Linked DNA regions of Ovis aries. The protein of the gene in region 1 interacts with the protein of each later gene in a pairwise test. Links are inferred from orthologs where the notes say so. Each region holds a gene or a part of one and is shown in the gene's direction. Other genes may lie near its edges. The genes, in order: XIAP, PPIH, CKS1B, RFC5, SSX2IP, ERCC3 and NEK6.

Region 1 (4,444 bases):
TGCATGAGCACCTGGGGAGACATGAAAATAAAGAAGATGGTACCCAGAAGATGCTGGGATGTTGATTCCCTTGCCCAGCCTCAGAGACACATGTTTGAGCCCTATATGGAGAAAGGCTAATGGCATAAGCTGGTGGATCTGGTTCCCAGCAGAGATGTAATAACGTGGGAGGGGAGCACTACCCTGACACCTGATCATTTGCAGCTTCAGTGATATAAGGAGCCTATACTCGACACAGATGTTCTGTGTGATGAAAATTAGGAAAAACTTGGAAGTAAGGCAAAAGGATGTCCTTTCCATGTCACAGTCTAACAGGCTGCCCAAAGATTATTTGTCTAGAGGAATATGTTTTGCTTGACTTACTATTTACTACTGATTACAGTCAAGTCTCTCTGAAGTCTCTATTAACTTGCAGACTGTTTGTAGAGATGCAAATGCTTCTGTCAAATAGAAATGACAGCCTCCAAGCTAACAGTTGTATTTCCCTGTAGGACATTAAACAGTATTGTATTGAAATCAAACTTCATAGTTTTACTTTATAATTATTTCTTTGAGTGCCTATATGCACTTTCTTTCAAGTTCTCCTTTGTTTATTTATTTGTTGTACTGGGTCATCATTACTGTGCAGTGGCTTCTCTTGACACAAAGCGTGAGCTCTAGGGTGTAGAGGCTTCAGTAGTTGTGGCTTATGGGCTTGGTTGCCCCAGCATGTGGGATCTTCACAGACCAGGGATTGAACCCATTTCCTCTGTATTAGCAAGTGAATTCTTAGCCACTGGACCACCAGAGACGTCAAAATTCTCCTTTGAATCAACTTAACATACTGCTGTCTCCTCATTAATGAATTAAATATTTATAGGGGCTTATTCTATATTTTGTATGTCACATATTTTTAAACATTTGTATTAGAGTTTAGCTGCTTTACAATGTTGCATTAGTTTCTGCTGTACAGCAACGTGAATCAGTAATATGTATACATATATCCGCCCTTTTTTTTAGATTTCCTTCCCATTTAGGTCACCACAGAGCACTGAGTAGAGCTCTCTATGCTATACAGTAGGTTCTCCTTGTCACATTTTCAGTTTTCTAAAAATTATACTTTGACAGTGGACACGTAGCTATGGCAAAGGTGAAACACTCTTCAGGTGTTTAATTGAACAGTGGATATAAATGAGAGGGCTGAGGCAAGTGAGGAGGATGGTGGGTGCCATAAGGTAACAACAGCTGAAAGATAGGTTCGTGAGGATGTTAAAAATATCCCCTGGGGACTCCCAGACATGACTTGGTGAAACAAACGTTTTACCTAAAGTTCCTGATTTCATCTTGATTGTGAAGGCAGAAGGAACTCAGAAAAGGGAAGCTGTCCAAGTTTCACTGAGACATTATTTCAAAACCTTTTCATGGAAACTTCTAATTGGATATCCTTTGGCCAGCTTGAACTCATGTCTAAAACTGTACTTCCTTTTCCACTCAAACTTATTTCTACCATTTTCCCCACTTCTTGAATGGCAACTCTTCTTACCCAGTCCTTCAAGCCTGAAACTGAAAAGTCATCCTGGACTTCTCTAGACTCTACGTATAAAATCAACATGGTCAACGTAAATAAAAAGGTAAACGGAGACAGCCTCAGTTTACCAGAAATTTAGTTTATTTGGGAATAGCAGAGAAATTGCAATTCAAGAAATGCAAGCTGTATCAAGCTACAGGTGAGTCCCTTGAGGGTTCAGGGTGGGCTCCATTTATGGGCAAGGAGTGCAAAGAGGAGGATGTCCAGCCAGAGCGCAAGCAGCAAGTTCACTGGCTTGAGGATGGGGAGGGATGTTTGTTGGTCAGGAGATAAGTCTCTGTCCTCTGGAAGTCAGGCATTTATGGGAAATCAGTCTCTTGGTTAAGTTCCATTCTTCTGAGGACACATGCCTGAGATTCTCTATTTCCAATCCTCCAGTTCCATTTCAGGTTGAAACCCTCTCACAGTACCCAAGTCTTAACTAATTATATCTCATAAACATTTTCCCCTTCCTGCTACTGTTTTGTTAATTCAGTTCTTTATCACCTCTCGCTTGATTAGCCTCCTCACCTGACTTAGGTTTCACCTTTCTTATCACTCATCCTGCCAGTCTAGTTTATACAATGTTGCCAGTTTCACCTCATTAAAAAATATTATAATCATGTTACTCCTCTGATTAAAACCCTTCAAGGGGTGGGGGGAGACTTCAAGGGAAGCCAGTGTAGAAGTGGAGTTGATGGAATTTGATAACCAAGTGAGTCAAGCAATCCGGGATGTGAAAAGACTCTTCAACGTTTTTACTGCCTATAGGGTAAAGTCCAGTCCAGGCTCATAACACTAAGGCAATTTACACCTGCTCTCAACTTACTTTATCAGTCTCATCTTCAGGCCCTCCCTAACAAATACCTTATACTATGATTATATCGCACTTCTCACCATGCTCTTCATGCTTCCTAGTCTTTCTGGCCACTGTTCCCTTTGTCCCAAATGACCTCATCTCTCTTCTCTGCTAAGTTCATTCCTATTCACCTGTCAAACTCCTCCAGGTGGAACTCACTGGTGTCTCCTTAAGTTTGGCACTATAGATGCCTTAATCCTGACACTGGTAGCCCTTGACCAGCTTACCAGCCAACTGGTGGTCACAACTCAATGTCCTCCTCCACCATGTGACAACGAAAGGCAATATCTGACCCTAGACAGGCTCCTGTACTGGGGTGGGGTAAGGGAATACTTAAAGGACATTATTAGGTCAACTGCTAAAATTGGAATATGGGATGATAGATTAAAGTGTTGTATCATGGAAATTCCCTCATGGTCCAATGGTTAGGATTCTGCCTGCCACTGCAGGGGGCAAGGGTTCAACCCCTGGTCAGAGAGCTAAGATCTCACAAGCTGTGTGGAGTGGCCAAAAATAATAAAGTGTTGTATTAATGTAAATTTCTGAAGTTGATAATTGGATTGTGGTTAAAGTAAGAGAATATTACCATACTCTTCAGAAATATGCACTGAAGTATTTAGGGGTGAAGGGCAATGATATATAATTCTCCCCAACAGTTCAGGAGAAAAGATAGAGAGAAAGGTAGATCATACAAATGATAAAGCACATGGGGTAAAAAGTTAACAGGTGAATCTGGGGTAAAGATGTTTGAGGAGGTCATCAGGAGGAAATGACTGCCAGTTGACCCTGGGATTGGACAAGCAATGGGAGGCTTCTTATCCCCTCCCCTGCTTGCTTGGAATTCTGCCCACTGCTCCCATGCTGCTGCTGCTAAGTTGCTTCAGTCGTGTCCAACTCTGTGCGACCCCATGGACGGCAGCCCACCAAGCTCCCCTGTGCCTGGGATTCTCCAGGCAAGAACACTGGAGTGGGTTGCCATTTCCTTCTCCAATGCATGAAAGTGAAAAGTGAAAGTGAAGTCGCTCAGTCGTCTCCGACTCTTAGTGACCCCATGGACTGCAGCCCACCAGGCTCCTCCGTCCATGGGATTTTCCAGGCAGGAGTACTGGAGTAGGGTACCATTGCCTTCTCCAACTGCTCCCATAGCCAGAGGTGATTCAAGGCCAGAGCTCTGAGAGAGTGAGGTATTGAGACCACCTGGACTGAATAAGTGACTGAGCCCAGTTTGGGCCTCTGTGTAAACTTTTAAGATTCTGGCAGGTGGGTGTGGAGATGGGTTTGTTTTGGGACCATCCAAGATGAGCCTCCTATGTAAGTTTCCTAACTTACAAAACCTCCTCCTACCAGTCTGGGGTGGTCTGCCTCTTTGGTCTCTCCTCGCTTCTGAGGATAAGGCGCCAATCTCAAATTTCACCTGGGGAGCTCCAGAGGTTTTGAACCGACAAAAGGGTTTATAACTGTTCTTTAAACTATTTCTTTAAAAAAAAAAATGTATTGGCATCTAGTTGCTTTACAGGACTTCACCAGTAATGAATCCGCCAGCAGTGCAGGAGATGTGGGTTCGATCCCTGGGTCAGGGTTCGATCCCTGGAGAAGGAAATGGCAACCCACTCCAGTATTCTTGCCTGGAGAATCCCCATGGACAGAGGAGCCTGGTGGGCTACAGTCCATGGGGTCTCAAAGAGTCAGACACGGCTGAAGGAACTGAGCGTGCGTGTGTGCATAGTTACTTAACAATGTTGTGTTAGTTTCTGCTGTACAGCAAAGTGAACCAGTTATACATATATCCCTTCATTTCTAGATTTCCTCCCCATTTAAGTGACCACAGAGCATTGAGTAGAGTTCTGAGTGCATGCATGCTAAGTCACTTCAGTTGTGTCTGACTCTTTGTGACCCCATGGACTGTAGCATGCCAGGCTCCCTTGTCTATGGGATTCTCCAGGCAAGAATACTGGAGTGGGTTGCCATGCCCTCTTCCAGGGGATCTTCCCAACCTGGGGACTGAACCCACATCTCTTACATCTCTAGCACCACCTGGG
Region 2 (4,468 bases), on another chromosome or scaffold:
CACTCAAAGATCTGTATCAGATTATTACATATATCCCATGAGGAGGGACTAAGGCTCTGTTTTATCATTGAAATACAATTTTTTTAAATTTAATTGTAGTTGATTAACAATGTTGTTAGTTTCAGGTGTACAACAAAGTGAACTAAATTTTATTTATTTATTGCTGTGCAGCAGACAGGATCTTAGTTCCCTGACCAGAGAGCAAACCCATGTGTGCTGGAAGCATAGTCTTAACCACTGACCCACCAGGGAAGTCCCTGAACTATCATTCTGTGACTGCTTTTCCTTTGTTTTTGCATTCCCTCATTAGGAACTATTTGGATCTGCTCTTTGGAACAAGATCCAGGAGGGTCAAGTCTTTCTACAAACAAGGAATCAGGTACATAAGCAAGGGTTTTATACACAGCAGTGTCCTGCCAAGGGCCGGCTGTCTCAATGCCTTTTTCTTTGGTACTCAACAACCTTGAGGGAAACAGGTGGACAAGAAAGGGAACGTTATAGATAGGTTATTCCTAAGCTTTGCAAAGGCACCCGGTTTTTACGAAGGACCCAGCTTCATTTTCATGGAGTTAAACAAGTGTGAAGCAGCTGGTGAGGTGGGGAAACCATATAATTTTGGATGGTGAATGGCATGAAGAAAATCAGTAATCTATCCAAAAGAGTGACAGAGGGCTACTTTAGATTGGGTGCAATGTTCCTGACTAATGACCTGAGATGAGACTTGACCTACAAGACCACTCCGCACCCTCATGAAGATTTAGAAGAATATTAAAGTCAGTTAACAGGCCCTAAATAGAATCCGAGTCTCCGTGACCTAGAGGAACAGGCTAGAGTCCCAGGTAGGTGGCCAGATAATGTAATGTAGGTCTTTTATGTAGCAACTGGATTTTATTCTAAATAAGGGAATCCGGGAGTGATTTATAAGCAGATTCATTTAAAAGCTCTAGCTGCTCTGCAGTAAGTGACTTGGAGATGATGAAAGCGGAAGCTTGTGGGAGAACTGGAATTAAAGTCTAGTGCCTGACTTCATGAAAGTGCTGAATATACTGAACAAGCCTTATATGCCAGGCTGTTCAAAGCGCTGAGGATAAACACGGTTTTTGCTTCCGGGCCTCCAGACTAGTGAAAAGGGGTAAGAGGCCGCACATATGATGGTTCAGACGGTCTTGGCTGCAAAGGCTGATCAGACCCTGAAGACTGCCTAGTCCAAGCCCCGTAGCCTGAGCGAGAATCATCCGTACTGCACTTACTGTATCCAAGTGAATGAGAGGCCCGTGGGCCTCGAGCGAAAAAAAAGCCGAGGATGTCCTCCGGCCTCAGCGCTCAAGGAGACTCAGGTGAGGTAACAACTTGCGACTCGTCAAAACGGAAGGAAGCCCCGGCCACCCACGCAGCGCGCAGCTTGGCATCGAAGGCAGAGAGCTTCCGGGGGCGGGGCCGACCGCCTCCCACCGCACCGCCCCCCCCCCCGGCTCTTCCTGCGCCTGCGCCGGAAATAAACACCTCCCGGCGGAGCAAGATCATAGGATCGCCGGAACCCCGCGCTCCCGACTTCTGCTTCCGGGTCAGAGGCATGGCGGTGGCAAATTCAAGCCCTGTCAATCCCGTGGTATTCTTTGATGTCAGCATTGGCGGCCAGGTGAGGTCTTGGCAGCCAGCCAGCCCGATGCCAAAGGGAACGTGCACGCGGTCTGGCAGGCAGATCACCTCCTCAGGTGTAGCAAACTCGGGAAGCCAAAAAGTGAAATTGAACCAGAACCTACCGACCTGCGGGGCGGGGGTGAGGGAGTAGGAAGAGGAGGAGTCTTGCGCATCCTAGCGCCCGGCTGGTGGAGGGACCGGGTGGAACGGAAGAGTAGGCTACGGAGGCGGAGGTGGGAGAGACCAAGCGGCATGGGGGCCCGAGGGTTCCCTGTTCGGTGAGGCCTTCACGGGCTTGGACTGGGCTTTCTGAACGTCTCTCGCCGGTTGCAGGAGGTTGGTCGTATGAAGATTGAGCTCTTTGCAGACGTTGTGCCTAAGACGGCGGAGAATTTTAGGTAAGATGATGTTCTTTGCTGGATAAACCAAACGAGAAGCTGGGCCTGTCTGTGGAATCTTCTGCCTACCTCTATCCGTTCATTCACCGTCCTTGAGATCTGACTTCTCTGGGTATCTCTCTGAATAGTCTTGACCGTCCCCTTTTCAGTTTATGTTAATCTGTATGCCTGGACGTCTGACCAGCCAGTTGGTGGGCTAGCTAGCGCCGACGTTCCCCTTCCCGCTGAGGTTAGGGACGCTCAGAGTTGTGATGCCATGGCGACTGAATCGTTCACTCTTTTCCTTTTCAGGCAGTTCTGCACAGGAGAATTCAGGTCAGTCTCTGACGTGGTTGACTTCTCTGCTTGCTCCTGAGGGCTGTCCTGAGGCTGCAGTTGAGGGTATTGGGGAATCACCGGCAGGCCTTGTATGACTGGTGACAGTAATAGAAGGTATTACTATGGGTCTGTCCTCAGTTCATTTGCCTTCTTCGTCTCTCTTCTCCCGACCATCTTTAGAAGGGTGTCTCTGGCTCGACTGTATGGTAAACGTGAAAGGCCTATGTTTACCTGTTTACCATTTCAAGTCTCTTTCTTTTTGCTTATAGAAAAGATGGGGTTCCGATAGGATACAAGGGGAGCACCTTCCACAGGTAAGGCCTTTGGCAAGCCATCCTGGGGGACTTTTAAAATTACTATTAGTATGGTTTAGAATTACTTCCTTGGGGGATTAGTCTCTTCAGAGGAAAACAAAACCATAGCATAATTCTTAGTTCTTGAGAAGGGATGCTTTTGTGAACTCAACCATTGATTTGAGGACTGAAGTGATAAACATTATATTTTGAAATTAATGTTATTCCAAACCACACAATCTTCTCCCAGCATCCTTTGTTCTCTGTTTCAGGGTCATAAAAGATTTCATGATTCAGGGTGGAGATTTTGTTAATGTAAGTACTGTTCCTTTCCTATTAAGGGCCTATAAGTTTTGTTTTTGTTGGTTGTTGTTATTGAAGCTGCTCCTCGGGGAACTGAGAACAGTAGCCAAGTTTGCTGGGGGAGGAGGTGGGAATGGGAATATCCTGTGATGGCTGCTACTCGCTGCATCACTAGATAACATATTAGCACTTTGATTGAGTCACTCACTCCAAATCTCAGTCTTTTAGGGCTGGGAACTGACTTTCCCAGCATACCTATAGGTGATCCATGACAGACCCAAATTAACTGGGCACATGGAATTTAGCTAGAAATCAGTTACAGTTAACTTTCTCTAAATGGGGGCAAGTCCCTTTCCAGTGAGTTAAATGCTTATGCCCTGATTTCCCATTCACTTCTGGTATCCCAGTGCCTCGGAAGGTGAGTTGTTATTTTTTTAATCAAGTTCATTAGTGGGCAAGAAATCAGAGAGTTCTGGAAGGATATTTTCCCTATTCACTAGGAGAACCCATTGAATTAATCCTTCATTGCTAAGCATGATTTTTCTTGCCACTGTATGCATCCCCATTTCAAGCTTCCCAACCTTGCAGGGTTCTGAATAAACCACATTTATGCTTTCTTAAACCTACGTTTGTCCATACCCACCCATTTCTGTGCATGATCTTTCTTATTAATATCATTTGGTTAGTCATGTTGCTGTTTTCTTGGATCTGGGAGACATTCTTTATCCTTTACATGTATATTTAGTTTGACTGTTAGGAGTTTTTTTAAGATTTCTATCTTTCCTACCCAGATAAGTTTACAAAGTGGCAGATTTGGGGCTGAATCCGAAACAGATATGCTTTGTATCATCTGTATGATGTTGTAAAACTGGGAAATTTTCCGGAAAGTTCTGGAGTTTTGTTTTCTCTGTTACAACTGAAAAGTAGGGGTGCACTTGGCCTGTGTTTCTCATGTAGCAACATTTGGTTGAGTCAAGTAACAGCTCCCTTTAGACAGGTATGTCCTTATTATTTCACCACAGTTCCCACCACTGGCTTCCCTTCTTTACGTCACATACTCCTATAGGCATTTAAGTTTGCAACCCCTGGCCACGACTGATTAGAGTAGGGCTTGGGGTGACCATATCCTTTTTTATTGGCAAGTAAGAAGGGCTAAGATGCTATTCTCTGTGTTCTTTCTTCCAAAGGCTTCTATACTGCTATATTGTCTTAGCAGGGATAGGACTAACTTCTTATGGGTCATTGCTAGGCACATGTGATCACTTGCTAATTGCTCTAGAGTTAGCAGTTAGTCAGCCAGAAGGCTGTCAGGGAGAAGAAATTACTCAGAGCCACCCTTAGGGCAGAAAAAATAGAATGAGCAAGACGTAGAAGCAGAATTTGAGACCTTCTAAAGTTGGACTAAGAATATTTGCTTGTTTGTTTGTTTTAATAATGTGTTTTAAAAATTTAAAAGATAATGTATTTTTTCTGGTTGCAAAACAAAAGTACAACAATGAAAATAAATCGTCTCAA
Region 3 (4,436 bases), on another chromosome or scaffold:
TGTGGGGAAGAAGCTGCATGTGGCTTCTCAGCTCAGCAGGGAGGAGGAGGCAAGAGAGGCGGAAAGTAGCAGGAAATGGCGAAAGCCTCAGGAATGTTTCCAGCAGGGAAGGCTGGGCAAGCAGGACCAGGAGAAATGCCCAGACTAGAACTCTGTCTGGGGGAGGGGAAGAGCCAGAGAAGTGGTGGGGCCTGAAGAGTCCCTTAAAAAAAAAAAATCAAACATCAAAAAGGACACTGTTACCTACACCCATTCCAAGCCACCGTCTTCAGGTGGTAGAAAACTTTCTCTTCTGTCACACCCACATGTCACACATCGACAAATCCACGGCCCTACCCAGCTCCCGTCGTACAGGTATGAGACAAACAGCTGTTTCTGGGGTGGAGTCGGTCCTGGGAAGGGAAACTCAGGGAGTGGGGCAGGGAATCTGTGAGCAAGTCTCCCTCCCACTCTCGTGCCAAACCCCAAGTCCAGCCCCCTTCAAGTAGGTCCACCCTTGGAAGGGGCTAAGGGAGAGGGAAAGGGCTGCCTCTAATCTCTTACTCCACAGAGTCAGAGATGTGAACTTTTGACCCTATCCAGTGGAGCCTAAGAGCTCAGGAAAACTGAGCCAAGGGCCCCAAAGAGAAAAGGAACGAGGAAGCGCAAGCAGGTGAAGTTTCTGGGATTGAAGACAAAGCTCCTGAGGCGATGACAAGGGTCCAACCGGGATAACGCTCCTGAAGGGGCGTGGCCCCTCAAGACGCGTGCACCAGAGACTCCCAGGAGGCGAGGCTTCTGGACGATCCGACGTGGATTAAGGAAGGGGCGAGGCTTCTAAAGGGGCGGAACCCTTAGGGAGGCGTGGCCTCACGAATTCGAATAGTTCTTTGAGTAGCAGGGTTCTGCCCTTTTGGGAGTTAGGCTTTTGATAGACAGGGGTTAACGGAGAATAGTCTCGAGAAGGCGGGGTTTCGGGGAATCGGAAGGACTAATGCAGGGGTTTGGAAGCATGTCTGGGGGTGGGACTTCCAGGAAAGCTGGACGACAGGGTAGGATTGGGGACAGTAAATGGAATATAAGTCGGGGTTCGGAGAGCCCCCTGAAGTTGGGAGGTGGGACTTCCGGGGAGGGGGTCGCAGAGGGCGGGACTTGTAAATGAAGACCGGAAGTAGGGTCCCGGGAGAGGGGTTCCGGGGTAGAGGAGTGGGTCACCTAAGAAGAAAAATGTCCCAACTCACCAGGACTTCATGGAGTCTCCGCACCGCACCGCGGGCCGATTTGGTTCCGGATCACGCCACTGTCTCCTCAGGTTGCCGCTCCAACTTTCTCCCCGGGCCCGGCCTCCCTGGAGAAACTTTATTGCACTCACTTCCGGCCTCACTAACCCCTGACCCTGTACCTCATTGTCCCTCCTTCACCCGTCCCTCTTTCCCGAATCAACCAATGGCAGTGCGCGGACGAGCACAGTAGCAGTGATAGCCAATAAAACGTCTATTTTTTACTTACGGCAATTCTTGAGCAATGTTCATTCCAATGAGGACTTGAGTAGAAGCAAACCTAAGCCAATCGGAGGCTTGAAGGTGGGGTTGTCCCGCCTTCCGGCAGAGGGACCAATAGAAAGCGCAGGCGGCGTGTTTGAAAGCGAGGCCAAAGAGGGTGGGAGCGCGTGCTGCTGGGAGTTGTTCGGAGGTTGGCGGCGCGGGGCTGAAGGTCCTCAGGCAGAGTGATCATGTCGCACAAACAAATTTACTATTCGGACAAATACGACGACGAGGAGTTCGAGTACCGGTTAGTGCCGGCGCGGGGGCAATATCAAGGTCGTGAGTTCTGACAACTGAGGGCACGAGAAGTTGGTAACGGGGACTGAAAACTGCAGAGTTGGCGCATGCGCGGGAGGTTAACGGGAATGGGTGTGCTGAGAGTGTGAGGCGCATGCGCGAAAGGTAGGGGGGCAATCAAAAAAAACCCCTAGAGTGATAGCGAATTTGGAAGGAGGCATGGGTGGTCGTGGTTAGAGTGTTCGAATGTTAGAATACTGACCACCCTCAGCTTTGCGGGTTTCTGGACCATTCTCTCACCTCAGTTGAGTAAACTGAACTTGCCTTCCTGAGACTGCTTGTATTACAGCCACACCGTAGAGCCTTCTGGGAGAAGGTGGCAAAGGCGAAGCTTGAATTTTCTTCGAGTCTTCAAAGTGAGGAGAGTTCTAAGAGAGCCTGAGTGTTGCTTATTAATCCATGGGAAAGGGGCGTGGTTGTCTGATTTGTTTTAGGAAGGGGGGCTTCGAGGAACTGGAATCGAGTAAAACTGACCAGAACCACTGAGGAAAGACTTAATATGGCCCTAATAGATTACCGTCAAATGTTTGAAGGGCATCTACTTGGGAAACAATTATGGAGTGTTTATAGGTTTCAGGTGTTCTGCTAAAGTACACGGATAAGCCATGGTCCCTGCTTTCAACAGACCTAAAAAATATGTGGAAATACTGACAGGCTTCAGAAAGAAGATGATAATTGGTATAATAGAGCTATGTACATGTAGGTTGTGGTGGGAGCACATAGGATTTACCAAACATGATAAAGAAAGGACTCCATACAGAGTTTGCATTTGATAAGCTCTTAAGTCCATAATTCTAGATTAGAAAATAAAGCAACACAAAGAATTTTACAAATGTTGGCATTCCACTAATCTGTAGTAAGCGTTAATAGTTAAAACAACTGGAAGCTTGGTTTTCGTGTGTTTCTTGAGCCTAGTGCAGGGCTCTGAGCCTTCTGGAGAACTTGGTGTATGCTGTCAAATAACCCTGCCTGCATTGTTTTTATGTCCGATCCTTGGGAAAAGATCCCCAGCCCTGGGATTTCACTGGTGGTCCAGTGGCTAAGATGGTAAACACCCAGTGCAGGAGACTTGGGTTCAATCCCTGGTCAGGGAAGTAGGTCCCACACGCTGCAACTACAATCCCGACCAAAAGAAAAAAAAACACTCCAGCCCTGTTTGAACCCAATTAACTCTTTTCCTCAGCTGTTCTCTACATCTGAACTAGGCTAACTAAAATTGTGTGCTTAAAATGTCTTTGCAGGGCTAGGGAGACATCACTAGTTTCATCCTCTGGAGGATGTAAGTCTTGGCAGTGATATTTGATTTAAGGAAAGGTTTGTTTTGTTTTGTTTTGTTTTGGTCTAAATAGTCCCTGGAAGCCAGTCTTTATGCCATTGGCTTATTAGGATGTAAGCTGTTTTCAGACATTTAAACCAGAATTGACTTACAGGTGGGGGGTGGGGGGGTGAAATCCCTTTTACTTAGCACAGAGAGAGCATTCAGTGCAGTGTCACTGAACATAATAATCAAGTCTGGGTCACCCCAATTCAAGTAGTAATTTCTTTGCTATAAAAGGAGACTTATCCTTGGTTAGGAAAGCATGGAGTCTCCCCCAAAGAAGTCTCGTGGCACATCCTTTCAGAGTTGAAAAATGTAACTTATGAGGATAGATTTTAAAAGAGAAGATTTTTCTATTTCATTCTTGGTGACAGGGGCGGGTAAAAAAGTCTTTATTTCACCAGCAGATAAATTCAGGTCATCTCAGATTTAGTAACCAAATGGATTATGAGAAAAATGTTTGCCTTCAGGTGTTTGTAAAATTGTAAATTGTAAAACTTAAAAAGTGAGGGGATTGTGGACATTTTATACATAGGCCATAGAAATTTATAAAAGTATAAATGTATAAATAGATATCTTTGTTGTTGTCTAGTCGCTAAGTCATGTCCAACTCTCTGCGACCGCATGGATTATAGCCTGCTAGGCTCCTCTGTCCATGGAATTCCCCACGAAAGAATACTGGAGTGGGTTGCCATTTCCTTCTCCATATATTTGATTTTATGTTCTGGCTCTTCCACACAGCACTGCCTGATAGGCCTTTCCTCTCTGAAATCACTTCTCTCTCTTCCTTACAACCCTGTTCAGAACCACCCCTAATTATTAACAGTCTGTGTGTGTGTTCTGGGGCTCCCATTATATTGTTTAAGAGTAATCAACTAGAGGACTGTAAGTGGCTATAATTTTGGCACTCATTCACGGGTGTTATTCATTAATATGTACTTTCTAATATACTTTCGTGAGAATTTACGTAACTTGGCCTGTAACTTGGGCTTTATTTCTAGCTGCCTTTGCACTACAATAAGATTTTATAAACTCCCTGCCATTACAAACTGGTTTCTCTTTTCTTGTCTGTCTTGGCTTTACCTGCTAGCCCCCTCATCTGATAGATTGTACCCAGTTCTGATACAAATTTCCCACCTTCCCACGTTTCTATTACAGGCATGTCATGTTGCCCAAGGACATAGCCAAGCTGGTCCCTAAAACTCATTTGATGTCTGAATCTGAATGGAGGAATCTTGGTGTTCAGCAGAGTCAGGGATGGGTCCATTATATGATCCATGAACCAGGTCAGTGCAATG
Region 4 (4,328 bases), on another chromosome or scaffold:
AGAACCAAGAACACAATACTCATTGGATAGTTTCTACAAAAAATAATGTTGGAAAAACTGGATATCCATATGATAAAGAATAAGGTCATTATACTAAATGAAGTAAGTCAGACAGATGGACATTGTCATATCACAGCCCCATCTGACCCCCTTCTGACTCCCCAGGAAGGGACCAGGGTGAAGCCATAACTGTCATTTTATATTTGCCCTCTGTCCCTCTATTCTACTCCTAAAATGGGTGACAGTGTGGTAGTAGGAGGCAAGGAGCAGCTACTTCTAAATCAGAACACTTGTAATCCTGGGTCAGCCTCATCTCCTCTCAGGATTGTTGTCTTTCTCAGCATGGCAAAAAAAAAAAAACCAACAACCAACAAACAAAAAGCAGGGACTTCTCTGGTGATCCAGTAGGTAAGAATCCGAGCCTTCAAAGCAGGGGCCTGGCTTCCATTCCTGGTCAGGGAACTAAATTCCACATGCCACAGTGAAGAGACCGTGTGCTGTAACAATGATCCAACAGGCGGCAATGAAAATCTCGCGTGATACTGCGCGCCCCAACTAAAACCCAGCGCAGCCAAAACAACAGCCAAACTTTATTACGGATATAATACACACTTATTGCTGGGAACTACAGACCAGCAAAATAGAAAACATAAGTGGTTCATAATCCCCTTACCTCAGAAAAAAAATACTAACATTTTGATACCAATTCTCCTCAGCAGCTTCACGTCAGAGGGACCCTGTCCTCTTCGCTTACTAACTAGCCCTTTCCAGTTACACATATTAACCTGGAGGGAAGTTACTTATTATTTACTTTTTCCTCTCTGGAGTTGTTTCTGGAGGTCGTTCTGTAAATTTTGTTGGGTGAGGGGCATAGATTTGAGAGACAGACTGAAGTTGGAGTTGTGCTTGGAGTTGTTTTTCAGTTTGAAGTGCTCACCTCCTAGCTTTGGGGGCAAAAAGTATTTCAAGCCTTGTTTTTTATGGTATCTGTATTCAAGAACTGGTCATGTCATTTCGGGTTGTTTTACCTCAGAATTTTTTAGCGCTGGCCGCTTTCTGTTCCCTTGAAGGGTAACAGCTATAACTCTGGTGACGACTGGAATTGGCTTTGGCCGTGAGACTTTAATTTGTAATGATGATTGGTGGCTGTACGGGGTGGCCGTGCCTCTCAGGCGCGCGCTCCCTCTGGGTTCAGGACTCTGGTCTACACCAGAGAGGGGAGATCCAGCTAGAAAAGGGCGGAGCTGGGGCGAGGCGTCCGCCCGGGCCTGCCGGCAACCAGGCAACAGGGCCTTAGCAACGGGGAGGGGGCGGGACCTAGGGAGGAAGTCCGATGGCCGCTAAATCTCGCGAGAGTTGCGTTTGCGCGCTAACTCTAAGTGCGAGGGTCCCGGGGTCTGGTTGTGGCTGTTGGCGAGGTTCGGGCCTCTGGGAAACGCGACAAGCCCACCGGCCACCATCATCACCATCATCATTATGGAGACCTCAGCGCACAAGCAGCAGCAGCCTGAGGCGGCCAAGATCAGAAACCTGCCCTGGTAGGAGGGGGCCTGGCTGCTGCGGGGAAGGGGATCGGCCGCGCGCGGAGGCGGTGGCCCGAGTGAACAAGTGGCCAGTCTCCAGCCCGACCTCGCCCCGCAGTCCCCGGACTTGAGGCCGGGGTGGAGCCACAGAAGTTCACCTGCCCTCAACTCCCCAGTCCTGCTCCATTCTATTTATAACTGGCTAGGTCTCCCTTCACCCGTAACCCAGGGCCCCCTTTCCTGTTGCGGAAGAGGAAAACGGCTTCCCCACTTGGGTGACAACATGGGTTCGATCCCATGTCTTCTGACATTGCCTTGGCCTCTGTGGCAGAATATTCTCTTGACAAAATAGTCTCTTCTCTCGGTGCGATTACTGGTCACATTCTAAGCTAGAATAATGATAATGATGATGACAGCACTTCCTAGTTAACTTATATTTCAGTGACTTTGTTACACGCACCCTATTAGATGTTGGAATTTTGCAAAGACCCTGGGAAGAAGATACTGTTATTCCAGCTTTACCAAAAGGTTAAATGACTTGCTTAAGGTCTAGAGTTGGAAAATAGGTTTGGATTTGAACCCAGGTGGTCCACATTCAGAGCTTGCATTCTTAGCCAGTCTGCTTCCACAACTGTGTCTTACTGTTGTTTTAAAGACTGATAGGATTTGGCTTGATTTTGAAAAACTTATTTCTTTTCAAAAGTTTTCAAGATAATGAGTTCGGTTTGTTGTTACTATAGTAAAAATATATAACATACAATTTACAGTTGTAGCGATTTTGTAGTGCATTCAGAATGTTGTGTGATCATCCACTATCTAGTTGCAAAGTTTTTCATATACCTCAAATGGAAACAATATACCTATTGGCAGTCACTCCCCATTCCCCTCTCCCTCAGCTCCTGGCAACCACTCATCTACTTACTGTCTCTATGAATTTGCCTATTCTGGATATTTCATGTAACTTGAATCATACAATATGTAGCCTTTCATGACTGGCTTCTTAGATCAGCAGTTCATGTCCTTTTATTGCCAGTAACATTCCACTGTATGGCTATACCACCATTTATTGATCCATTCATCTGTTAATTTATATTTGGATACAGGTTCAATTTTGGATTAACGTTAGGTGCCCATCCAGGTTGAGATTATAGGCAGATAGCTGGAAAGGTGAAATGAGAGCAGTTTTTCAGGGGGGCGTGGCCACAGGGGTTAGCCTGTGCATTTCATAATGTTTAATAACTTCCCTGATGACTATCCACTAGATGCCAGTAGCACCTTCCACCCAGTTTTGACAGGGGAAAAGTCTGTAGATATTATCAAGAGTTCACTGGAGGACAGAATTGCCCCAATTGAGAACCACTGGGTTAGAGGTTTTTGTATCTCTCTTCTTTTAGTTAGGATATGTATGAAAGGACTCTTCTGCACCTAACAAAATATTCTGGCCTTTATATATGTTGTAATGCATGCTACATTGTATTTTAGGGTTGAAAAATACCGGCCACAGACACTGGATGATCTCATTTCTCATCAGGACATCTTGAGTACTAGTAAGTATCCCTGTGTCAGTGGCTGGTATCCTAGTTGAAGAACCTGGATACATTGCTTAGGGATGTGGTCTCTGCTGTGATAACCTTAAAGAATCTGACTAAGCTTTTGGGATGTGGCTCTGACAGCTGCATCCTTCAGATGTTTCATTCCTGCCCGTGCCCTGGATTTGAACACAGATGTGAAGTAGACTCAGCCCAACTCTGGCCCGCGGTGAATGAGGCGACTGAGACTGATAGCATCTGTCTTTCTCCCCCCATCTTCAGTTCAGAAGTTTATCAGTGAGGACCGCCTGCCGCACCTCCTTCTGTATGGTCCTCCAGGGACAGGAAAGACATCCACCATCCTGGCCTGTGCTAAACAGCTGTACAAAGATAAGGAATTTGGCTCCATGGTCTTGGAGGTAAATGAGAGGATTACCCTTAACTTTCAACGGACTCTGGTTTCTTATTTTTAGTTCTGCTAGTTTTGTTTTCCAACTTAGTTGCCCTGCTGGTGGTTGGGAAAGAAGCAGATATACAATATTTCAATTCACTTTTCCTATAATTGACATTTTTGCCTGGAGATTTTGGGTGTAGCTAGAGGGCAGTGGTAGGGCCAGGTGTTTTTGTTTGCTTTTGCCAGCTTTTACTCAAACACTCAGGGGTCACTTGGTTGCTAGCTGTATCCCATGTGCCCTTCTCCATGTTGCTCCACACTGTTCTTGTCCCAGAAGACTGGGCGGTGTTGCCGACAAGCTCCCTTGCCCTCTGGCTCCTATTGGGTTTGGCCAGGAGTTGGGGGAAAAATGATGCCTGGTCCAGCCCTGGGTCACCACAGACGGACAGTGTCCCCACCCACAGGGCACAGCACCCAGCATTCCCCAGGAGCCAGCATCACTCCCCCAACAACCCCTTAAGACTTGAGAGTGGTAATGGGCCCCAGTAGCCCATAAGGTATTGCATAGCTCTTGTGGTTTCTCCCACACCTCACGAGCACCTTTGAAAATATCTCTTCATTTAATTCTCTTCAAATTACCGAATTTGAGTGTGCTGTTTACTGCTGGGACACGACTGATCCACTTAGATTATGAAATTCTAAATATTGTCTATTGTTAAGAAAAAAAATGGTTTAACTTACTTTTTTTGTTATAGATCTTAGAATCTTTCTGCTACCAAGATTCTTAATTGTTCTTACTTCAGTTTATTAAAGACTTGCTAACTTCTGAGTTGCTCTGGGTTGTGGTAGCTAAAATTAGTATCATTCTGCTCCTGCCTGGGG
Region 5 (3,700 bases), on another chromosome or scaffold:
TAGATACTTGCATATTCTTAATTTGCAAATAATTCATTTTTAAATTATTTTCAAAATAATAGACATTTGATTCAAAATATCAGGAAGTATATAAGGTATTGGGTTGGCCAAAAACTTCATTCAGGTTTGTCCATAAGATCTTATTGAAGAATCCAAATAAACTTTTTGGCTAACCCAAGAGAACAGTCAGGTCTCTGTTCCCTATGGTGCATACCTTTCTAGACCTTTCTGCATTTGCAAAATACTTATTTTAAATGTCTACAAGCCATAAGTTGAATATTACTTGTTTTTTTCTATACTGTTCTTTTTTCACTCAACAGTGTATTATTTTTAGATAACCAGTTCCTGTCATTATAGATACCTAGTAGATTGATGTTGATGAGTATATCCTTAACATTTTATATTTGTTCAAGCTTGCATGTTTTTAAATCAAGAAAATTAAGACGTCTGTTAAGTAAATGCATTTTACTTAAAGAAAATTTATTCTAAATGGTCAGAAATGACAATCTCAGTGCTAATTGTCTTAAAAAGTGAAGTCAGAACAATTAAAGTATCAAAATTAGTTTACATGAGGTTTTTTTGATTTCATTTATCACTGTCTATTAGTAAATAGCAAGTATTTTTGGACCTGATATTTGTCAGATTTAATAACAGCAAGATTTGTAATCTTGCACTGATCTTTGAGGAAGTGTCAAAAGAGTATAGTTTATGAATGTTAATTTTTCTGGGAACATAGGTTTGCATTTCTAATTAGGACATCATCTTGAATGAATACAAATTACAGGTTAAATGTTGGAAATAGAATTTTGTAAGTAAGGATATCATTTAGTCCAGAAATAGCGTGAATTTTATAGTTACCACGAACTCATTACAGTTGCTTACTTAAAAAAATATTTTAGTGTTAAATAATATACCTTTTATTCTATTTTATTATAGCTAGTGGAGTTTTTAAAGGACAAAAGAAATAACTACCTTTTAGAAAACCGTTGAGATTCCAGAAAGGGAAAACCTTTCTGATTTTTAAATTTATTTCTTGATTTTTAAATATATGTCCCCAAATGCCATAAACTAAAATGGAGACTATAAGGTTTATGTCAAATTATTGGTTTTGTATTAGTTTCAAAGGTACACTTAGAAGGTTTTAATGACGAAGATGTAATCTCACGACAAGACCATGAACAAGAAACTGAAAAACTCGAGTTGGAAATTCAGCAGTGTAAAGAGATGATTAAAACTCAGCAGCAACTTTTACAGGTAAACGCAGGACACCTTTTAAAGCTGTTCTCCCCTGTGAAGGGTCAGGATTTTATTGAATCTTACTAGATTTTTGCTCCTTTATTTCGTAAGATATGTTTTACAGTCTAAGTTCTCTGCTTGCTAGCAGATAGACCACAAAGCATCATTAGTCGATGCTTTGCCTTTTAGAGTAGAAGCATTTGGGAAATGAGGCTTCTCATTTCCATTGACTTTCTGATTCTTCATCATCTCTCTCCTTGCCCTGAAGTTAGGCCTGCTTTTTTTGCTTGCTTTCATTTCAACTTGTTGGAGTGTTGCAGGGACCCTCTGGAACTTACTATGTGTTAAAATTTAATAGCAGCAGCTCGCTACTGCTTGTGATGATGACACCACTTCACTGCTACGAGACTGTTACTTGTTGGAAGAAAAGGAACGCCTCAAAGAAGAGTGGTCCCTTTTTAAAGAGCAGAAAAAGAATTTCGAGAAGGAAAGACGAAGCTTTACAGAAGCAGCTATTCGCCTAGGATTGGAGGTATTTTAAGCAATTGGCCTTCCTTGTAGAATGTTTGAAGGTCCTGGAGAAGCCTCACTAGAATGCATTGAAGTTCTTATTTTTTGTTTTTTTGCTGTACATTTCCTCAAGTATTTTACCAGTGATTTCACAAAATAGCTTGAAACGGAAGCTGTAATAGAGGTGTATCATTTTGCCTTCAGATTTGGGAATTGAAAAAAATTTTATATTGAAAAAACTAGGCCTTTGTCATGCCTTCTGGGTAGCTTTCTGCTTGCTGTTAAGAGTTTTGCTTCACGAAGGAGATTTCTTCTGGGCATCTGTCATCTCTCCGCTGTTAGTAGGTGTAAAGTCAGGAGAGAGTTCAGCCGAGAGAGTGTCTTGGGTTTTTTTTAAGGGAAGGGAGAGTACAGTACCATTGCCTTACCCAGGGATGAACTGTGTGTATGCGCTTCAGCAGCTCGCCTTTTTATTTAGTAGTGTGTTACATGCACTATTTCCCTATCCAAACCTAGAGAAGTAATGTCTGGACATGATTTAAAAAAAGAAACTCATTCCAAAAAGCTACAAGGTGTGAAAGTATCCTTCCTTCTTCTCAGTTTCATTCCTCAGAGGTACCACTATTGAAGGTTTATGATTCTTCTGGGAAAAACTATTTTAGCTTGAATAAAATTCAGCCTTTTTTCTTACAGTCAGCCTATTGACTCCCCACTATGAAACACAAGGAGTTTAGTGCCCTTACCATACCTCCCATCTACACTATTTCTCATATACATATGATTTCTCCATAATATTGTTACTTTTTTAAGCTAATTTTTAAAGAACTGTTTCTCCTGGTTGATTTTTTTACTCGGAGTAAATTTGTTTAATGCTTCCATTCCATGTTTGCTCAGCGTTAGACAGGATGGGTTTATCCCTGAAATGGAAGGTGAGGGCGTCCTTGTAGTTACCCTTGTTGCAGTGCTTTTACCCCTCGACTGCTCAGTTTTTGTCAGTGATGCTATTTTTCACTGTCAAGTGTTACCACATTTATACTCTGATTTTTAATACAAATTCAAGTGTAAGTACTTTGTCCAGGATTGCGATTTAAGAATGGAAACCAGAAAGAACATTGATAACCCTGTGATTATATGAATATTCATTCTATGGCCGAGTAATACGTTTGGACACTTTTATATAGCATTCTTTGTTGTTAAAACTGTCACGCAGAAGAGAATCTGTAGTGAATTCTGTGACTTTTTTGTGGGTGCTTGCTTTATGATTTCTGAATCAGGTTCAGCTTCTATCTCGTATTCTCTTTCTTGGGTTCCTTTTTCAATCTGTTGTATTACCTTCTTGAGTAATTTTTTCACAAGTGTGTGTGAGTGACAAATATTCTGAATTCTGGACTATCCAAAAATATATTCATACTTGATTGGTTTGCCTGGATGTAGAATTGTTTTCCAACTTTTCCTTTCAAAACTGTGAGTTATTCTGATTCTTCCATTGTTTGATTTTGCTCATGAGCAGCCTGGTTATAAAATACCCTGGGTTAATTTTAGACAGCTGTGCTGTTTTTCCCCCTCTGTGGAAGCTTTTGCAATTTTATGTTCTTAAATTAAGAGTTGTGAAATTTTACCAGGGTAGGTCTGGGTAGCTCCTTTTAACCTGAAGATGCTCTATTTCTTCAGTTCAGGGATATTTTCTTCAATTCTGTATTTTTTCCTTCTCTGACTTCTCTTGCATTCTGGAACTTCTGCTAGACAAATATTTGGCCTTCTGACTACATCTATAGATTGACTTTATGTTCCGAATTTGGGAATATTTTCTCTTTTATCTTGTGCAGCACCAACCTGGTATTCAGCAAGGTCAGTTTGATTTTTCACTTCATCCACTGAGTTTTTACTTCACAATTTATCTTTTAAGTTTTATAGTGTATTTTTTGTTTTGTGTCTCATATTATATTTTACAGAT
Region 6 (3,700 bases), on another chromosome or scaffold:
CGAAGTGAAGAATAAAGACAAAGGGAAAATAACGGAAAGATTTTGAGCAGCATTTTATAGGTTAAGGGATGTGCATCAGAGTTAGCCAGACAAGAGGGAGGTTTTGCTCTCAAAAAGTAGAAGCTACACAGAGAGTCAGATGTGACTGAAATGGACTCAGCATGCAGACAAGGGCACCAAAAGGTGTGCAGTAAACAGTCTGTCTCCACTCACCACTTTCTGTAGTGGCTCTGTATTTTATTCTTAACTTTTCTCGACTATGTCAACTACTGGTTTAAGCTGTTTTCACTTCCCCACCCCACCCCTGCATCATGGGCATGTGGGATCTTAGTTCCCTGACCAGGACTTTAACCGTGGGCCCTCTGCAGTGAGAGCCTCCAGTTCTAACCACTGGACCACCAGGGAATTCCTGCTATTTTCAATGAAAAAAAATTATTTCTATTGGATTTATTTTACTTGAAGTAGTTTTACTGTTAGTTTGTTTTCTTCAAAATCATTTTTACACTTTTATCTTTAATTTTTGTCCTTCTGTTTCTTTCGGGTTTTTGTGGGTAGTGCTGTTTTTTAACCTGTAGCTTGAGTTAGATACTTAGTTCATTAATTTCTAGTCATCCTTATTAGTAGAAATATTTAAACATATGTATTCAGTTCAGTTCAGTTCAGTCGCTCAGTCATGTCCGACTCTTTGTGACCCCATGAATTGCAGCACGCCAGGCCTCCCTGTCCATCACCAACTCTCGGAGTTCACCCAAACTCACATCTATCGAGTCGGTGATGCCATCCAGTCATCTCATCCTCCGTCGTCCCCTTCTCCTCCTGCCCCCAATCTCTCCCAGCATCAGAGTCTTTTCCAGTGAGTCAACTATTTGCATGAGGTGGCCAAAGTACTGGAGTTTCAGCTTTAGCATCATTCCTTCCAAAGAAATCGCAGGGCTGATCTCCTTTAGAATGGACTGGTTGGATCTCCTTGCAGTCCAAGGGACTCTCGAGAGTCTTCTCCAACACCACAGTTCAAAAGCATCGATCCTTCGGCGCTCAGCTTTCTTCACAGTCCCACTCTCGCATCCATACATGACCACTGGAAAAACCATAGCCTTGACTAGATGGACCTTTGCTGGCAAAGTAATGTCTCTGCTTTTCAATATGTATGCCTATGGCTGATTCTTTTTGTTGTATGGCAAAAACCAACACAATATTGTAAAGCAGTTGTTTTTTAATTAAAAATAAGTTAAAAATAAAAACAGGTAAAGCTAAAAAAAAGTGGAAGCTAATAGAAAAAGCTCTATTTAGACAGATCTACCCCTTTAGGATTGCACATTGGATGTTCCTAAAGTAAAATGAACCCTTCACTTAGTTGAAAGGTAGTAAAATGCGTCCGGTAATGACTTGTTCTGAGTGAGCTGCATGTGGCTGATTTTACCTGTCTGGTGTTGTCCCTCCCTGCAGTTGTGTACTGTCAGCTATGGGAAAGTCAAGCTGGTCCTGAAGCACAACAGGTAAGGGACTCTGTGACAGGCCCACCAAGGCGTTTCCACCCTCTGCCTGTCAGTGGCAGGAAGCTAACGTTTGTGGGCTGTGCTCTGCACTAACAACTGCTCCCCAGAGTAAGGGGCTAAAGGGAATGAGGGAAGCTGTGTGGCCAGAACTGTTCACTCCCTGACCACTGTATTCCCCTGGCAGTGGAGCTGGGGCTCCGATCCCTGCTAATGTGTCTTCAAAGTGGGGCTTTGCCCGCAGCCCTTCTGTGCGCTCTCATGACCAGTAGCTCATCACTCAGCTTCGGCAAAGGGATGGGGCAGGGTGACTGTGCAGAGGGGCCAGAGGCCGCCGTCCCCAGACCATCCGAAGAATGCTAAGTGGACCCTTCCGCAAATCCTGTCCCGGCCAGCAGGCTTCTGCTTCCTCCCCTTTTACAGGTACTTCGTTGAAAGCTCTCATCCTGACGTCATCCAGCATCTTCTCCAGGATGCCGTGATCCGGGAGTGCCGCCTGAGGAACTCTGAGGGGGAGGCCACCGAGCTCATCACCGAGACTTTCACAAGCAAATCTGCTGTATGTGGGCTCCTGGGTCACCCTCAGGGGTTGGACACATTCAGGATTGTAGCCCTCAGGTGCTTTTAGTCCAGCATTTATAGCCTAGTAGTCCTGCCGCTTTCTTGCAGCTTTGACTGTGCTTGGTAGCAGTAGGGTTAAATGTTCTGTGCAAGTCCACATCCTGCCTTTCTCTTCCAGATTGCTAAGAGCGCTGAAGGTAGCGGTGGGCCCTCCACTTCCCGAGTGACAGATCCACAGGGTAAATCTGACATCCCCACAGACCTGTTTGATTTTTATGAGCAAATGGACAAGGATGAGGAGGAGGAAGAAGAGACACAGACAGTATCTTTTGAAGTCAAGCAGGTTAGTGAACATAACTCCTGGTTGCTTCTCTAAGCTGATATCAGAAGCTGGTCTGGCCCTGCCTGGACTGTCCATACTTTGTGTGAGAAGAAGGAACCCCTATCTGTCTCCAGTGTGCTGTTTCATCATTCTTCCTGATGGAGTTGTATCTGAGTGCCCATTCTTCCTGCTGGTGGATCAGTGAGAAATGGTGTCTCTGGGGTGTTTTGGTAGCTGATTGGATTTAATTTTGTTCATTGCCTTAGTTTGGGGTCCTTTTCTATGCTTTAAACCCAGTTGTTATCAAGCAAGATCTGAAATTGCAAAAGTCTAGGTAAACTTGATTTTTATTGTTAGGTGTCTTAGGATATGTGTTGCTTCTGAGCACGCTTTGGAGTTAACAAGATTATGAAACCTTCATGCTCACTTTCCAGGAAATGATTGAAGAACTCCAGAAACGTTGCATCCACCTGGAGTACCCTCTGTTGGCAGAATACGACTTTCGGAATGATTCTGTCAACCCTGATATCAACATTGACCTGAAGCCCACAGCTGTCCTTAGACCTTACCAGGAGAAGAGTTTGCGGAAGATGTTTGGGAATGGGCGCGCGCGCTCCGGGGTCATTGTCCTTCCTTGTGGTGAGTGACTGAGTGAAGGAGATGGGTGGGCTGCTGTCTCTGCATCTGTCCTGAGTCATGTCGGGCCTAGCCTAGGTTCTTGGCCGGAAATCGTAGTACACTCAGCTGGAGCCTTGCCCCAGACTCTAGAAGGTGAACTGTCTCAGGAAGGGGCCTGCACCTTCTTTCTTTTTAAGCTGCATGGGTTACTTTGAAGCACATCCCTGGTTAAGGAAGAATTGCTTTTTAAAGGAACAGCTTGATTTTTAATCTTGATCTTCATTAATGGTGGACGGTGGTAAACTCAGAAGCCCCTGGAGTTTCACCTTCCTGTGTCTTTGCCAGTAGCACTGTTCACACGACCATGTTGCTGAGTGCTCAGCCCAGTTTATGTGTGACCATAGTAGCCATCTTTTACTCAGTCCCTCCGAAGGGAGTCCATGTGTTGGGTACAGTATACCCTAGCAGCACTGCTGTCCCAGGGTCTCGGGCCAGTTACACCTTAGATTTAGTTTTCCCATCTTTAAAACAGCAATAGTAGAAGTGTCTCTTACTCATTGTTTGTTTTGACAGATGTTGCTTTTTACGATTTAAACAAGGTGCATATATGGCGCTTTAACAGGGCCTGGCACTTGTCTCTTACTTTTCACATTTGTGTTGAAGTAGGCACACCTCCTTTTCTGTAAAGAAGGAAACAGGTTTGGAG
Region 7 (3,700 bases), on another chromosome or scaffold:
GTCGGGATCAAAGGGAGATGGTGTGGAGAGCGCCAAGGGGCGAGGGGGCCTCTGATAGTGAGGGGGCGATCAGGGTCCCTCCTTCACCCTGAAAGGGTGTTGCCGGGGCTGGGGAAGGGGTAGCACCGCCCCCCAAACCCCATCCCAGGTCTCAGCCCTCCACTCCGCCTGGCTGGTCACTGATGCCCTCTGTCTTTCCCCTCCAGAGGCACCCCACGGCCCTGTCTTTTCGCTGCTCACTGGCCGACTTCCAGATCGAGAAGAAGATTGGCCGAGGGCAGTTCAGTGAGGTGTACAAGGCCACCTGCTTGCTGGACAGGAAGACAGTGGCTCTGAAGAAGGTGCAGGTGAGCCAACAGCACCGTGGGGTCAGAACTACACAGCAGGAGCCGGCTGGTGGCTGATCACTGTGGCCCTGGGCTAGTCCTGCCACTCCCTGAAGAAAACCCGGGAAACTGGCACTCTCCTCACTCACGGGGCTGTGGAAGAATTAGGCGGCCTGGTCTTTGCGAAAGCTCCCTGTGAACCATAAAGGAAAACAAGGACGAGCACATGCTGAGTGCCTGCTGTATCCTGCGTTATGCTGGAGCTCACAGAATCTTGATAGCGGCTTTGTGGGTTGGGGATTATCACCCCATTTTTCGGAGGAGGAAAACTGCAGACACATGAATAACTTACCAGGGCTGGTGGGGGAAGCTAAGTGGGAGCTGAGGCTCAGATCTGCAGCCAACTGACCCTCTCTGGTAGCTCTGGGCTACTGCCCAACCTCTGAGTCCCTTCTAATCGGAGGAGTGGGGTCAGGCAGATGTATTCTATGCAGCAAAGCTCAAGGAGAAAGCTGCTCGTGAGAGCCTTTGGGCCCCTCTGAATGGCTCTTTTCTGCAGGAAATGGCCTTGAGTCCTCCAGCAGGGCTTCCACAGCCCCTCGACTTGCTCATTTACCTTAAAGAATGAGATTAACCGGCTGGGCAGAGGAGGCCCAGCAGAGGGAAGGCAGTTCAGACACAGTCACGAGGTGGGGAGACGGGCAAAGAAGCCCCACCTGGAGCCGGACAGTGTGATTCTGTCCTTGCGGATCTGGGTGCTGCACACGTGGCCTGGGATGGCTGGAGGGGACACGGGCTCCTCGGTTCAGAAAAGGCCCGTGTTCTGCGTTTGTCTGCCGGGGACGGGCTCACCCGGGTTCTCTCTGTGTTGGTCTTTAGTGCTGGGATGGGTTCTGCGGTGGGGCGGCTGTAGTGTCGCCCTCTGGTTTGTTCCTGTAAGTTAGGATGTGCTGGGAGGCCCCACGTGCAGTGAACACAGGTCCTGGGGGCCATCAGGGGGTGCATGCTACACCCTTTCTTCTAACTTGGTCCACATGACTGCCCAGTGAGGTCAGGCTGTTGGCCCCATTTATAGACGTGAAGACTGAGGCTCCAAGGGTATTTCCTGTCCTACCCCTTACCGGTGCATGACCTTAGCAAGTCACAGGACTTCTCTGGACCTCAGTCTCCTCCTCTGTAAGTTGGCCGCAGTAACCCCCGCCTCATAGGAGCTGCTGAGATGATTCGGTGGGAATTGGTCAGCACAGCGCCTGGCACGTGATGGGCACCCAGTTATCCGAACCATTGTCCTAAGGGTTCCCTCTGCAAGGAGGCGTGAGAACCCAGATTGGGGTCCTGGGCCTTGTGCTCCCTCTGGGGCTCTGGGTGCTGGTTTTAACCACTCTTTCTCTGTCTTCTCTCACTCAAGATATTTGAGATGATGGACGCCAAGGCCAGGCAGGACTGTGTCAAGGAGATCGGCCTCCTGAAGGTGAGTGCCCTGCGCCGAGCAGGAGCCCCACGCTTCCTTGGGCCAGGCTGGGCTATGTCGTGACCATCATAGCCCCTTAGCCCTTTAAATTCAGAAACAACGTATTTTGGAGGAGGGCAGTGGCTGGTTTGTCCTCCTGTGGCTGAGTGGGGACCCCACCTCACCTCTGCCCAGTCCTCGCGGCGCCCCAAGACTGGCTGTCCGTGCCCCTTGCGGATCTGGATGTGGCAGCCGTGGACCAGGCTGTTGGGGAAGGAGCGGAGGTGGGCATTGGGTCCGACTGCGGTCTGTCTGTCTGTCTCCCTGTCGGTCTCATTACATCTTTGCTCTCAGCCTTGTGCCCTTGTATTTCTACTCAGAGGCACACACATCTGAATATTCAGCCAGGTGTGTTCTCTTCTTCTCTCCCATTCTTGTGCATCCAGGAGATGCTCTATGCCAGGGAGACAGAGCCGAGCCAGTCTGGGGCACTGGGCAGAATTAACAGCCAAGCACAGGGCCCCAGGTTCTGGGAGCTAGAGGGGCTTGGGGCCCCTGAGTTGTCCACCTTTTGGACTCTAGCCAGGCCTCCATCAGGGAGGAGGCAGGATGCACAGCTGGGGATGGGGCCCCCCGGGAGTAGCTGATGTGCCTGCCCCTCTGTGGGCAGAAGTCCTTGGTTCCACCAGAGCTGGACAGGGTTGTATGAAGGACAGACCTGCGGGGCCTGTCCAGGGCGAGGGATGGTGGTGGATGGTGTCTATGGTCATCCTTTCCGCCTTCCTGCTGGCTTCCCCTCCGGTCTCCTGAGAGTCAGAGATGACAGAACTTTCTGGACTAGACCTATTTCCCTGGTCTAGGGGTGGCTCTCCCTGGGGCTCTGCCCTCCTCCCCAGGTTCAGGATTCCACCTGAGAATTAGGAGGTGATGGAGGAGAAAAAAAGGGATGGGCTTTGGAGGCCCGGGATCCTGGATTCAAACGCTGATGTCTTCGTTTACAAGCTGTGTGACCTTAAGCATATGACTTAACCTCCCTGAGCCTCAGTTTGCCCATCAGCTCAATGGAGAGAATGCTGGCCTCACAGGATATGGGCAGATAGAGAGAATTAAATAAAATAGTATCGGGGGAGTTCCCTGCTGGCCTAGTGGTTAGGATTCCAGGATTTCCTTTCCGGGACCTGGATTCAGTCTCTGGCTGAGGAACTGAGATCCTGCAAGCAGCGTGGCATGGCCAAAAAATAAACCAATGAAAAAAATTTTAAAATAAAATAGTGTCTGAAGAGGGCCTGGCACAGGAGAGCACACAGTCAGCACTGACTTGGTGTCCTGTCTCCCCACATAGAGAGCAAGCTTGCTTGGCAGCTTCCTGTAAAGTGGGGCTACTGGTACTGTCAACCATGGCACCCGCCACCCCACCACCCAGGGATTCCCAGGCAGGAGGGAGAACAGACAGGCGGCAGATGGTGACCGTCGAGTGACGCTGGCAGACGCAAGGGCCCCAGGGAAGTCGTGCAGCGCCCAGGGCCTGCTCTCAGAATCTGGAAGGCTGAGACGGGCCTGCTGCAGGAGCCGTGGCAGCATGGATGGGCGTGCAGGTCACGGTGGACTCGAATGCCACATTCAGGATGTGAGACTTGAATGTGGGGACAAGAGGGGGCCCCGCAGTGGCTGAGCGTGAGGTGCCGTGGCCATATGGGAGTTGTGGATGCTCGCTGGGGTGGCCCTTGGCTGTGATGGGTCCCAAGGGGGAGCCTAGAGGCTTGTAGGGAGGTATCCTTAACTCCAGCTATCACAGGTCCTAAAATACTCTTCAGATAACATTTTGAAAGTTTTACTAAATGGTTAACTTTGGACCCAGTTGTGATCCCTGAAACTCTGATTCCCCAGCCCTGGGGAGTGGCTGTCTGGATCACACACCCCTGTC

The links.
Region 2: the proteins of XIAP (region 1) and PPIH interact in binary tests that used the Homo sapiens proteins (3 or more experiments, as listed by UniProt). The two-hybrid records come from large-scale screens. The link is inferred for Ovis aries from reciprocal best matches to the Homo sapiens genes XIAP and PPIH.
Region 3: the proteins of XIAP (region 1) and CKS1B interact in a two-hybrid assay, tested with the Homo sapiens proteins (3 studies listed by BioGRID and IntAct). The two-hybrid records come from large-scale screens. The link is inferred for Ovis aries from reciprocal best matches to the Homo sapiens genes XIAP and CKS1B.
Region 4: the proteins of XIAP (region 1) and RFC5 interact in binary tests that used the Homo sapiens proteins (3 or more experiments, as listed by UniProt). The link is inferred for Ovis aries from reciprocal best matches to the Homo sapiens genes XIAP and RFC5.
Region 5: the proteins of XIAP (region 1) and SSX2IP interact in binary tests that used the Homo sapiens proteins (3 or more experiments, as listed by UniProt). The two-hybrid records come from large-scale screens. The link is inferred for Ovis aries from reciprocal best matches to the Homo sapiens genes XIAP and SSX2IP.
Region 6: the proteins of XIAP (region 1) and ERCC3 interact in binary tests that used the Homo sapiens proteins (3 or more experiments, as listed by UniProt). The two-hybrid records come from large-scale screens. The link is inferred for Ovis aries from reciprocal best matches to the Homo sapiens genes XIAP and ERCC3.
Region 7: the proteins of XIAP (region 1) and NEK6 interact in binary tests that used the Homo sapiens proteins (3 or more experiments, as listed by UniProt). The two-hybrid records come from large-scale screens. The link is inferred for Ovis aries from reciprocal best matches to the Homo sapiens genes XIAP and NEK6.

What each region holds. Positions count from the first base shown.
Region 1 is NC_056080.1:107,805,852-107,810,295, forward strand, and holds the start of XIAP (E3 ubiquitin-protein ligase XIAP), read left to right. Parts: upstream 1-1,484; 5' UTR 1,485-1,706; intron 1,707-4,444.
Region 2 is NC_056054.1:17,161,115-17,165,582, forward strand, and holds the start of PPIH (peptidyl-prolyl cis-trans isomerase H), read left to right. Parts: upstream 1-1,549; 5' UTR 1,550-1,573; coding exon 1,574-1,639; exon of another isoform or gene 1,640-1,974; coding exon 1,975-2,039; intron 2,040-2,330; coding exon 2,331-2,354; exon of another isoform or gene 2,355-2,448; coding exon of another isoform or gene 2,449-2,471; intron 2,472-2,626; coding exon 2,627-2,671; intron 2,672-2,922; coding exon 2,923-2,965; intron 2,966-4,468. UniProt on the Homo sapiens protein: PPIase that catalyzes the cis-trans isomerization of proline imidic peptide bonds in oligopeptides and may therefore assist protein folding. Participates in pre-mRNA splicing.
Region 3 is NC_056054.1:105,196,412-105,200,847, forward strand, and holds the start of CKS1B (cyclin-dependent kinases regulatory subunit 1), read left to right. Parts: upstream 1-1,619; 5' UTR 1,620-1,711; coding exon 1,712-1,770; intron 1,771-4,296; coding exon 4,297-4,424; intron 4,425-4,436.
Region 4 is NC_056070.1:57,206,376-57,210,703, reverse strand, and holds the start of RFC5 (replication factor C subunit 5), read left to right. Parts: upstream 1-1,371; 5' UTR 1,372-1,476; coding exon 1,477-1,538; intron 1,539-3,005; coding exon 3,006-3,070; intron 3,071-3,334; coding exon 3,335-3,471; intron 3,472-4,328. UniProt on the Homo sapiens protein: Subunit of the replication factor C (RFC) complex which acts during elongation of primed DNA templates by DNA polymerases delta and epsilon, and is necessary for ATP-dependent loading of proliferating cell nuclear antigen (PCNA) onto primed DNA.
Region 5 is NC_056054.1:61,682,793-61,686,492, reverse strand, and holds part of SSX2IP (afadin- and alpha-actinin-binding protein), read left to right. Parts: intron 1-1,117; coding exon 1,118-1,254; intron 1,255-1,594; coding exon 1,595-1,768; intron 1,769-3,700. UniProt on the Homo sapiens protein: Belongs to an adhesion system, which plays a role in the organization of homotypic, interneuronal and heterotypic cell-cell adherens junctions (AJs).
Region 6 is NC_056055.1:118,229,720-118,233,419, forward strand, and holds part of ERCC3 (general transcription and DNA repair factor IIH helicase subunit XPB), read left to right. Parts: intron 1-1,446; coding exon 1,447-1,496; intron 1,497-1,916; coding exon 1,917-2,052; intron 2,053-2,232; coding exon 2,233-2,397; intron 2,398-2,810; coding exon 2,811-3,015; intron 3,016-3,700. UniProt on the Homo sapiens protein: ATP-dependent 3'-5' DNA helicase/translocase. Binds dsDNA rather than ssDNA, unzipping it in a translocase rather than classical helicase activity. Component of the general transcription and DNA repair factor IIH (TFIIH) core complex.
Region 7 is NC_056056.1:11,509,603-11,513,302, reverse strand, and holds part of NEK6 (serine/threonine-protein kinase Nek6), read left to right. Parts: intron 1-206; coding exon 207-347; intron 348-1,734; coding exon 1,735-1,797; intron 1,798-3,700. UniProt on the Homo sapiens protein: Protein kinase which plays an important role in mitotic cell cycle progression. Required for chromosome segregation at metaphase-anaphase transition, robust mitotic spindle formation and cytokinesis.